Nothobranchius furzeri: one gene and its partner. The protein of the gene in region 1 binds, or shares a complex with, the protein of each later gene. Links are inferred from orthologs where the notes say so. Each region holds a gene or a part of one and is shown on either strand. Other genes may lie near its edges.

What was found. Proteins that work in one complex are often made in the same cells at the same time.
Region 2: polr1e (region 1) and polr1f share a complex: the UniProt entries of both Homo sapiens proteins name them as parts of the RNA polymerase I (Pol I) complex. The link is inferred for Nothobranchius furzeri from reciprocal best matches to the Homo sapiens genes POLR1E and POLR1F.

What each region holds. Positions count from the first base shown.
Region 1 is NC_091747.1:78,705,606-78,709,915, reverse strand, and holds the end of polr1e (DNA-directed RNA polymerase I subunit RPA49), read left to right. Parts: coding exon 1-84; intron 85-182; coding exon 183-279; intron 280-359; coding exon 360-490; intron 491-2,064; coding exon 2,065-2,146; intron 2,147-2,236; coding exon 2,237-2,368; intron 2,369-3,155; coding exon 3,156-3,321; 3' UTR 3,322-3,410; downstream 3,411-4,310. UniProt on the Homo sapiens protein: Component of RNA polymerase I (Pol I), a DNA-dependent RNA polymerase which synthesizes ribosomal RNA precursors using the four ribonucleoside triphosphates as substrates.
Region 2 is NC_091751.1:28,040,891-28,045,937, forward strand, and holds the start of polr1f (DNA-directed RNA polymerase I subunit RPA43), read right to left. Parts: upstream 3,287-5,047; 5' UTR 3,242-3,286; coding exon 2,958-3,241; intron 2,685-2,957; coding exon 2,543-2,684; intron 2,472-2,542; coding exon 2,263-2,471; intron 1-2,262. UniProt on the Homo sapiens protein: Component of RNA polymerase I (Pol I), a DNA-dependent RNA polymerase which synthesizes ribosomal RNA precursors using the four ribonucleoside triphosphates as substrates.

The sequences.
Region 1 (4,310 bases):
AGTCCCAGGGAGCTCTGGCATCCCACCTGCCTCCCTGCAACGCAGACGCGGAGAAACGAGAGGACGTCTACCCGTTCGATGAACGTATCTTTGATTTGATTCTTCTGTGTGAAAGTAAAAATGTTCGGAACGTGGTTATATGTGTAGAAGAGCTGGATTCCACCCTAACTGAGTCAAAATAGTCCTGAGACCAGAAGAGTTTGCTGCGTTACAACAGGCTGGCTCAAAGATGGCAGCGCTCACAGCTGAGGAGCTGAAGAAGATGCGCGATGAAGGAGGGTGAGAAAAGTCAACGCTCACACTTGTTTTATCCAGCGGTGTTTTCTTGTATTCTGATGTGTTTAATCTTCCTCCTGAAGGTTTCTTTGTGTTGTCAAGCATCTAGAGAGCTTGCCACCAGCGGGTGAAGCTAGAGAGAAAGTGGCACGCTGTGCCTTTTACCTCTCTCTGCTCTTCAAACTGGCTCGACAGAAAAACATCAGCCGGAAGTGTGAGTGTTTCGGTTTTTCTTCATCAAATATGAATCAAACTGAACGAAGTTTAACAATCAGGTTTGGTCGGGCAGGAAATATTCTCTCATGGTTCCAAATACTGAGAACATGGCAGCTACTTAATTCTTTTATTACCACAACAAACAGTCAAAAGCAGGTAGTTTAGTAATAAAAATGTAATGGAAGCATGATTGTGGATTTGGCGGCGGTCCCCAAACCCGCTGGTGGACACCTGACGGTTAGGGATGCTGTCAAGCTGAAGAAAGAGTCCTCTTGGGTCTTTTACTGTGGGACTCCGGAGGGAGCTGACAGATACCGACAGCCCAACTGGAATGCAGCTAGAGTAGTTGCAGCGGTAAAAGTCTAGGCGTGGGAGGAGTTCGGTGAGACCATGGAGCAAGACTTCTTGGGAGATGGTGTGCTGCTGACCTCTACTCGGGAAATTGTAGATCTGTGAGCGCAGTATTTCGAAGACCTCCTCAATCCCACTGGCATGTCTCCCAGTGAGGAAGCAGAGTCTGGACTTCTGCTATGTGGTGGAGTTAAGTCATTCACTGCCAGCCGTTTCCTGATCAGAAAAGCCCTTCGCTGCCAGCATTTTTCAGAGCTTTCACTTTTTTTAAGAGCCACAGAACAATGCGCGCTATGATGATGTCAACTCCAAAACAACCAAAACAAAGCGGAGACTCACCTCTTACATCAGGTAGAATCCACGCATTTTGAGCGTTATCCGTTCTTTCATAATCTGTTGTTGAATTGTGATCGGCAGAAGCTTTTCCGGTTCGCGCCTCACTTTTTTTTACAGCAGCGGCCCAAAACGATCTCCTAACACATGGATGTTCTGCTTCCTGATCACGTGACGTGTGACATACGTGGATGAAGATAAGCTTTAGAGCTGTGTGGGGGCTCGTCCGACGCCCACACAGTAAAAACATGCAAATGATGACTTTAGTCGTCAATGGCAGTGTATGAGTTAATGCTAATGGTTAGCTTCTACTAGCTGAGACGTTCTCTGCTGTTTCCTGGACACTAAACCAACAACAGCCTTCAACGTCGTGAGGCAACATGGGTGAGTCCATGAATAATAAGTGACGGTGTGACGCAGATCTGTCGGGATTTTCAAATCCTAGTTTCAATGTCTACTTTCTGTCAGAAACTAATGCAGGAGATAGGTGTAGGAGACTATTTTCATGTTCAGTCTTCATGAAAAACTCAGTGACTGAATATAATCAGAAGTCATTTTAAAAGGGGTTTTCTGTGTTCCACACCTTTTACTGTGATGTAGCCACTGGCGAGGCAATAAACGATCTTAAAGCTCCCAGACTTATCTGTGCCTATGGTAACAAGGCTGGCCGTGTTTTGTTGAAAGAGGTGGGACAGAATCTTACTTAAAAGCAGAAATAGTCGAGTCAAAGCCCGAAACCCCTCATCACCAAGCCTGGGTTTTACCAGCAGTTCACGTATTACGATAAGTTTAATGATCATTTTCAACACATTTGATAATGTATAATATTAAACATTGAGCTCTATTATTGTCTATTGGATGTGTGTGTGTGTGTGTGTGTGTATACAGTTGGGCAGGAGGAGGGCTGTCCTCGGATCATTCAGACGAAGCTGCTCAAAACTTTTAGTGTTGAAACTTTCAACAATGGCAGGTATGAAGGTGATTCTGAATGTTGAGCATCAATTTTTAAACCAGGTGTTTGAAACCAACTTTGACATTGATATTATTATTCCCCTTCTAGGATCCAGAACTTTGTGTCAACATCAATGCGGGCCAAAATAGCAGCATACAGCCTGGCTCTGCTGCTGCATATGGGTCACATGACTGCTGACCTCTCCTTACTTCACCGTGACCTCGGAGTCACCGAGGCTAAGTGAGCAGACTTAGATCTATGTTGTCGTTCTTTTTTAAAACACAGAAACGGTTTCGTTTACCTGTTATTGACGCTACAGTTTCGCCGACGGCTGCCGGCTTCTTCAGGCTGACGCTGATGGTGGCGCGTCACTTCCTTCTCCATTTATCTGCGGGCAGTAGAGGACGTTGTCGCCCTCTACTGCCCGCTCTCCCCTCTCCGACGATGCAGAAGAAGCAGAAAGTACAATAAAGAAGTCAGCCGTAACAGATCATTGCTTAAGAGAAAACCATGTAATGGACTGGGACAACACACGGATCATAACCACTGAACAACAAAAATACAAAATATGGATCAAGGAAGCAATCGAGATAAGGAGACGTGGATGTGGGACCATGAACAGGGACGACGGAGTTTACACGCTGGACCACGCATGGGACTGCATCGTCGGAGAGGGGAGAGCGGGCAGTAGAGGGCGACAACGTCCTCTGCTGCCCACAGATAAACAGAGAAGGAAGTGACGCCACCATCATCGTCAGCTCTGAAGAAGCCGGCAGCCGTCGGCGAAACTGTAGCGTCAACAACAGGTAACAAAACCGTTTCTGTGTTTTATAAACGAACGACAACATGGAATTAGAAATAACGCACAGCAAGAACACACCTAAGATGTTCAAAGACTTAGAACTGTTTGCAACGTTCTGACTTTTATTGTGCACCTATATAACTCCACTCCTTCGTTCTAATGTCACAGAGTGTCTGTGAGGTGTTCTACATGAATTCTGCTCGCTGAAATGTTGTTTCCTTACAGGATGATCGAAGTTGCAAAGTCAATGCGACTGTCTTTGACCAAACCGTCCCGGCTAAAAGGCGACGAGGTAGAAATGAGCCAGGAAAACAAGCAAGCCTCCGTTGTTCTGCCTCTGGTCAAATACGAGTCGTTCACCCAGAGACGGAAACGCAAGAAAATGCACTGAAGACCGCGAGAAACCACAGACTTTAAGAAGTGGAAACACCACAAACAGTTTATTCATGTGTTTTGTAGACAAATAAAGTTGTTACATGATGTTTTTTATTTTTGTCAAAAATACAAAAAGGAAAACGCCTAAGAAGCTGTAAACCTCAAGACGACAGAATATTCAGTTTCAACGTAGAGGCACATTTGTAGACATGACATATTGCACAATTAACATGGATTCCCTCCTGTCTGGTTACCAATGGGCCATTCCCATCTGTACCGGGTCGGCCCGGGCCGGGTAGCGTAGGTTGTTTACATATCTGGGTGGCCTGGGATTTTTCCGGGCCAACCGAGGCTCATTCTCAGCCCTCTTCTCGAGGGGGTCTGCTTCAGGCCGACCAGGGCCAACACACCCACTGCTGACAGCAAATTCACACCTTCCATTAGAGCAAGCCTCTGATTGGTGGGTAGAATCAGCCCACATGGGCTTAAGGCAAGGATGTGTGGAATCAACCGGGCCAGGCTGGGGCTGACGGGCTACCCGGCCCGGGCCGACCCGGTACAGATGGGAATGGCCCACAAGTGAGTCACCATGCAGCGCATCAACGCCATCTTCAACAATAACAATCCCATTAAAATGAGCCGAAGCTGAAACCTGCTTTCTGTCCCGACCCACCTGGAGACAACTCTGTGCACGAGGCATAAACTTCGTTTTGCCTTTTTTTTTTTTTATTGCATAGATTTTAAACGATCAACACCCCTATTGTGGCTACAGTAGTTCATTTCTGAAGTAAAAAAAGGCACAATGTGACTTCCTGAAGCCTTGGACTCCTGCTCGGGTTTGTGAATGTGCATATGCTAAACCAGAAAATCTCAGGAACAATCCAAAGTCACCCTGAAAAAGAACATTTTAGCGTAACGCCTGTGAGAGACTACAAGAGGACTCGGGGATTTCTCAGCTGCTTTGAAGTGCGTCCGGTCTGCTTTAATCTCCAACACTGGGCAGAA
Region 2 (5,047 bases), on another chromosome or scaffold:
GAGAATGAGCTGATCTAAAAGGCCAGGGCTCCTGATCGCAGCGGTTTGGCTCTGCTTGTAGTTTAAAAGTCCCAGTCCATATTAGATCTCCAAAGCCGACCAGCACGACTACAGCCTCACACACAAGTCGGTCGGCTGTGAGAGTGGGCTACCCCACGGTCCCCGGAGCCCTTCTTAACTTCTTGGGTTAGCTAGTAGCCATATTGGTCACAATCCCTGTTGGGAACCTCCCATTTTTGGCTTCAACCTGCTCCCTGGTGGAGCAACAGGTGGGCTATGTTCATATTTTTATATGACGATGATTTCTGTCCATTTAAAATAACAAATAAAAACGTGAAGTTACATTTGGATGGCTGACTTCGTGTATCCTACCATTATTGATAATTTAATGTTCATGAATAATCTGTTTAATTGGTGAGGTCATTAGCAGACATATGAAGAAGTTTTACTTTTTAAAACTCCTAACCCCATTTCACATGTGGGACTATCGGATTCTGTTTCCTTAACAAGAGCAAGACAAAAAGACAAAAGCCTGGGAACTGATGTAACTTCAGTTTTCTGTTTTAAATGTAAATGAAAACAATAACGTGACTTTGACACTGAACCCAGGTGGAAACAGGAACTGATAACATATAAGAAACTAGGGCTGGGCGATATACCGATATTTTTAAAATATCGGTATAATTTTTAAACAAGATATAAGATGACTTTATACCTTTATAACTGGTCAAACTGCTATGCTAGTGACATGTTGCTCCGTCTCTAAGGGGTTATTACATGTATTCTCTCAAGTTTGCTCAATCTGAGAGCCTCTGGGTAAATGTGCTGGTCTAAACTTAGCATGTGGCGTTCTGGTTTTTAATTATTTGGGGACGTTCAACGCCAACGGAGTTCTGTTTTCCGTCCTGCTTGTGTGGAGAGACGAGTCAAACCCCTCCCTCCCCTGTGTAATGAGGAAACATCTACGGAAAGCCGGAGTGGGCAAATTACTTCAAACATATAGTAAGGGTTTGAATAGTAAACTATAGGGTTAACGTTTTATTTTGAAGGCGAGCTCAACGGGTGAGAAATGTTGCTCCGGGTTTTCCGCTGTGGTTTGTTATGCTAATAAATACTCCCGTTACGAGCAATTCTGTTGAAAAAGTTAAGAGTTTGTAAGGCGTGGGTTACGGCGACAGTAGCTCAAATATATTACTCATAAAAGAGCAACCAGAGACTCTGAGTCATTACAGTATAATCGCTGATATGAGTCAACACTGATAGATTCCAGCCATGTTTGCCCTGATAACTAATAACTCTATGGTGCATGACCCATGTGACCTTCAGTAGATGCAATTGCATCATCTACCTGAATCCTCTTGCAAAGGCTTACGTCTCGGCCTGGCCGCTCCGGTCATCACAGGATCGTCGGCTAGCAGTGCCTACACCACGCTCAGGACAATCCAGGCTCTTCTCATGCATCGTTCCACAAATGTGGAATGACCTTCCAAGCACTACCAGAACAGCGGCTTCTTTTTCAATTTTCAAGAAACTCCTGAAGACCCTGCTCTTCAGAGAGCATCTTCTTAACTAGCACCTTTCCTGCACCCGTCCCTCCCTCTAACGTCCACTCCTTTGTTCCCTCCTCTCCATGACTGATGTCAATGTTGTTGTTGTTATTGTTGTTGTTAGCCTCAAGGGCTACATGCCGATTATCACTTGTAAGTCGCTTTGGACAAAAGCGTCTGCTAAATACATAAACATCATCATAAATTTAGCCTAACATGATAGATTTTTGTTATGGACAAGAAATAAACGATATGGGCCACCTCTAGATGAAATCTAAATCATTTTACATTACTAATAAATATATAATAAAAAAGTCCCTGTGGGACATTTGATACACCTCTAGCTCTCAACTGTGTACGTGTGTGAGTGTGTGTGTGTGTGTGTGTGTGTGTGTGTGTGTGTGTGTGTGTGTGTGAGTGTGTGTGTTAGCAGACAGTTGTACCAGTGTTTCTAAAGCTCAGACTGGTTGAGAATAGGCACTAAGGTTAAAGTTGGACAAGAATCAATACATTTTTATGCATTTAATCTACTGATGTATGTTTATAATTTCTCAAGACAGCTTGAAGTGAGTTAACTTGGAAATACTTTACAGGAGGAAAAATATTGAGATATACATCGTATATCGGAATTCAGCTAAAAGATAGAGGAATAAGTTTGGGTCCATATCGCCCAGCCCTAAAACAAACCATCAACTCAGCATCAGCACCTACTCACCTGGTCCGGCCCAGCTGTCCCCTGATCAGCAGAACTCCTGCAGCATCAGCATCGAGCGCGGTCACCTTAAACTCCAGCTCTGTCCCGACTTTAGGACCAGCGTCCCTCCAGGTCTCTATGGACACCAGAGTTGGCCTGGGAATGCTGGCATTGAAACAACTGTGCACGAGGCAGCCAACATGGCTCACTCCCAGTTTATTCACTTTACCCTGTAGAAAACAAACCAACGACAGCAATTGGTGCTACTGAGATGACTTCTGATTAATTCTGTCCATCTTACCAGGAGTTTCTGTCCCCTTTTGGGCTGAAATACAATGAAGCTGGCTTCTATGTCCATGTGGATGTAGCCGCTGTCATTGTAGATGTCCCCATTTCTTCCCAAAATCCTAATGTTGTCATAGGCTAACAGCACTCCATTCAAACTGGAAGACACAAAACCAACAGCTTTAACTGGAACGGGAATACCAGCAGTTTTCCAAGCATACTATGACACAATCCTGACTCCATCTTTGACTTGAGCTCAAATAAACCTCCTGATGTTGAAGATATGTTACGCTGCTGATTCCAGTTGTTTAAAAAAAGATCAAATAGTTCATTTAAAACACAAAGAATACACCTTTAGCTGTCAGCTGACTGCCATAAAATGCAAGCACAGTGATTAAATCAGGCAATCCCGCCTGTGCTCGTCTTTCTACCTCTGGGAAAACTTCAGCAGCTCTCCGTCCAGCTCCTCCTGGATGCCAGTCTTCTTCTTGTTCAAGTACTGCGGCGCCAGAGCGACGTGTCTCCGGTGGGAGTTCAGCACCAGACACGAGTACGGCACCGGCAGGAGCTCCGACGCGGCCGCGAAGGAGGGGACCACGCAGCCCGCATCTCTGTCCGGAGCAGAGGACGGCTTCACCGGGGCGCCAGCAGCGCTCATATTGTTGGACAAGTCCACATGTTTTGGATCCTCCACAGCATGCTCGAAGTTCGCCATGCTGCCAGAGGACCGGAAGACAAACAACCGAGACTGTCGTGTTGAAGTTAGCGACTAAACCTTTATGCTGCCCCCTGCTGGCTCGGAGGTTCACTGGAGCAGCGCTCTTTGGGAGACCGTGAGCTAATAAGTACAAAAGATGTATTATATAGAAGATATTCAATTTTGTGATGATAAATGCAATAATAAGTTTCTAAGATCTTCATTAAGGAATCTTTTTGATCCAAACTTACTTAGACGTAATTACATATTAAAAGATTTCCAAAGGGAAGAAATTGAAAAAATAAGAAGTGATATCACCTTCCCTATCGCTCCTAAAGGGAAAGAAGTCCAATTTTAATTTTTGACCAAAATTTACCCAACCAATAGACTCCTTGGGGATAGATTCAATATAGAAGCTGGTAATTGTGTATTTTGTGAAACAGAAGAGGAGGACTTAGGCCATCTATTTTTTGTGCAATTTTATACAAATATTTTGGTTAGATTTTCATGCCTGGCTTTGTTCTAGTGGGATTCAAATTGCCCCATTTACCTTAAATATGATAATGTTTGGAGTGTTTTTGAAAGAAAAGAAAGTTAGTTATGGTGTTAATGTGTTATTAATTTTGTGTAAACAATTTATACATAAATGTCGATTTTTTAAGACCAAACCAACACTAGCCTATTGGAAAAACAACTTAAAAGTATTAGTTAAATCTTTGAATTTAGTTAAAAAGAAAAAGGCTGGTTTGTTATTTCCTTTGTAGAAGATTTTGAGTTAGTAAGTTAATAACCTGTTAATTATGTGACCCCATCTTTAGATTTTCCTTTTTTTCCATATACATGAAAATGTTGAATATGCATGTAATGATTATCTTTTGAATATATAATGTAAGGTGCATTTTGTTTGTATGTTATCTTCTCTAATAAATAAATAAATAAAGTACAAAAGATGTATTTACGCTGGTGCTCTCCACGTGTTAACAGTGCTATACTTACAGTGTTGCCATGTGTTGGATTCACAAGCTGATCTCTCTGTATTTCATCAATAATGTAAAAGAAAGTAAAACTAAAATAGTGACATTCCTGTTTTGAAACCCAGACTCAACAAAACATATTTTGTTTTTAACTAATCAGATGATGAGATATAAATCTGCTTTATGTGAATGATTGACATATTTTAAATGGATCAGTACATAACAGCTAAGTCAGTCCCTGTCCCTGAGCCCTGCCCAGAGCCTAAGCAGCAATGCCATTTTTTCATAGTGTTCAGCTATTTTGTCATAAATGAACAAATACTTCCAAAAACTACAGAATGTTCTGATTTCAGGTGAGGCATTGTAGCTGACCCACCTGTGAGAGAAAAACTGTAAGGCTTGTCTTCGGCACTCAGACATCAGTTCTGATTGTTTTTCAGCCGGACAGGACACGGCGAAGAACTGTCTCAGAGATCAACGTTTAATCTCCGGACTAAAGTTAAAAAACTATTTAGTCTAACTTTAATTAGAGTCCACAGCAGGTTTAGCACCTTTCAGTTTGGCAGGTTTACATGGTTCAGTGAGGAGTTTTAAATCAAAGTAACTCATCTTTATGTTTAGTTTGTTTAGAGGGTAACAGCATTATTAGAGCTAAATAATAACATAAGCATTATCACTGATCTGATGCACTAAACCCATGCACTCTCATTATATAAGCTTTAGATCATGCACAGATACATCTGGAAAGGGCATTGATTCTGCATCCTCTTCACATTAAAACCATTAGGGTGACCTGGGGTGTCAGCTAGTGTAACACACACACACACACACACACACACACACACACACA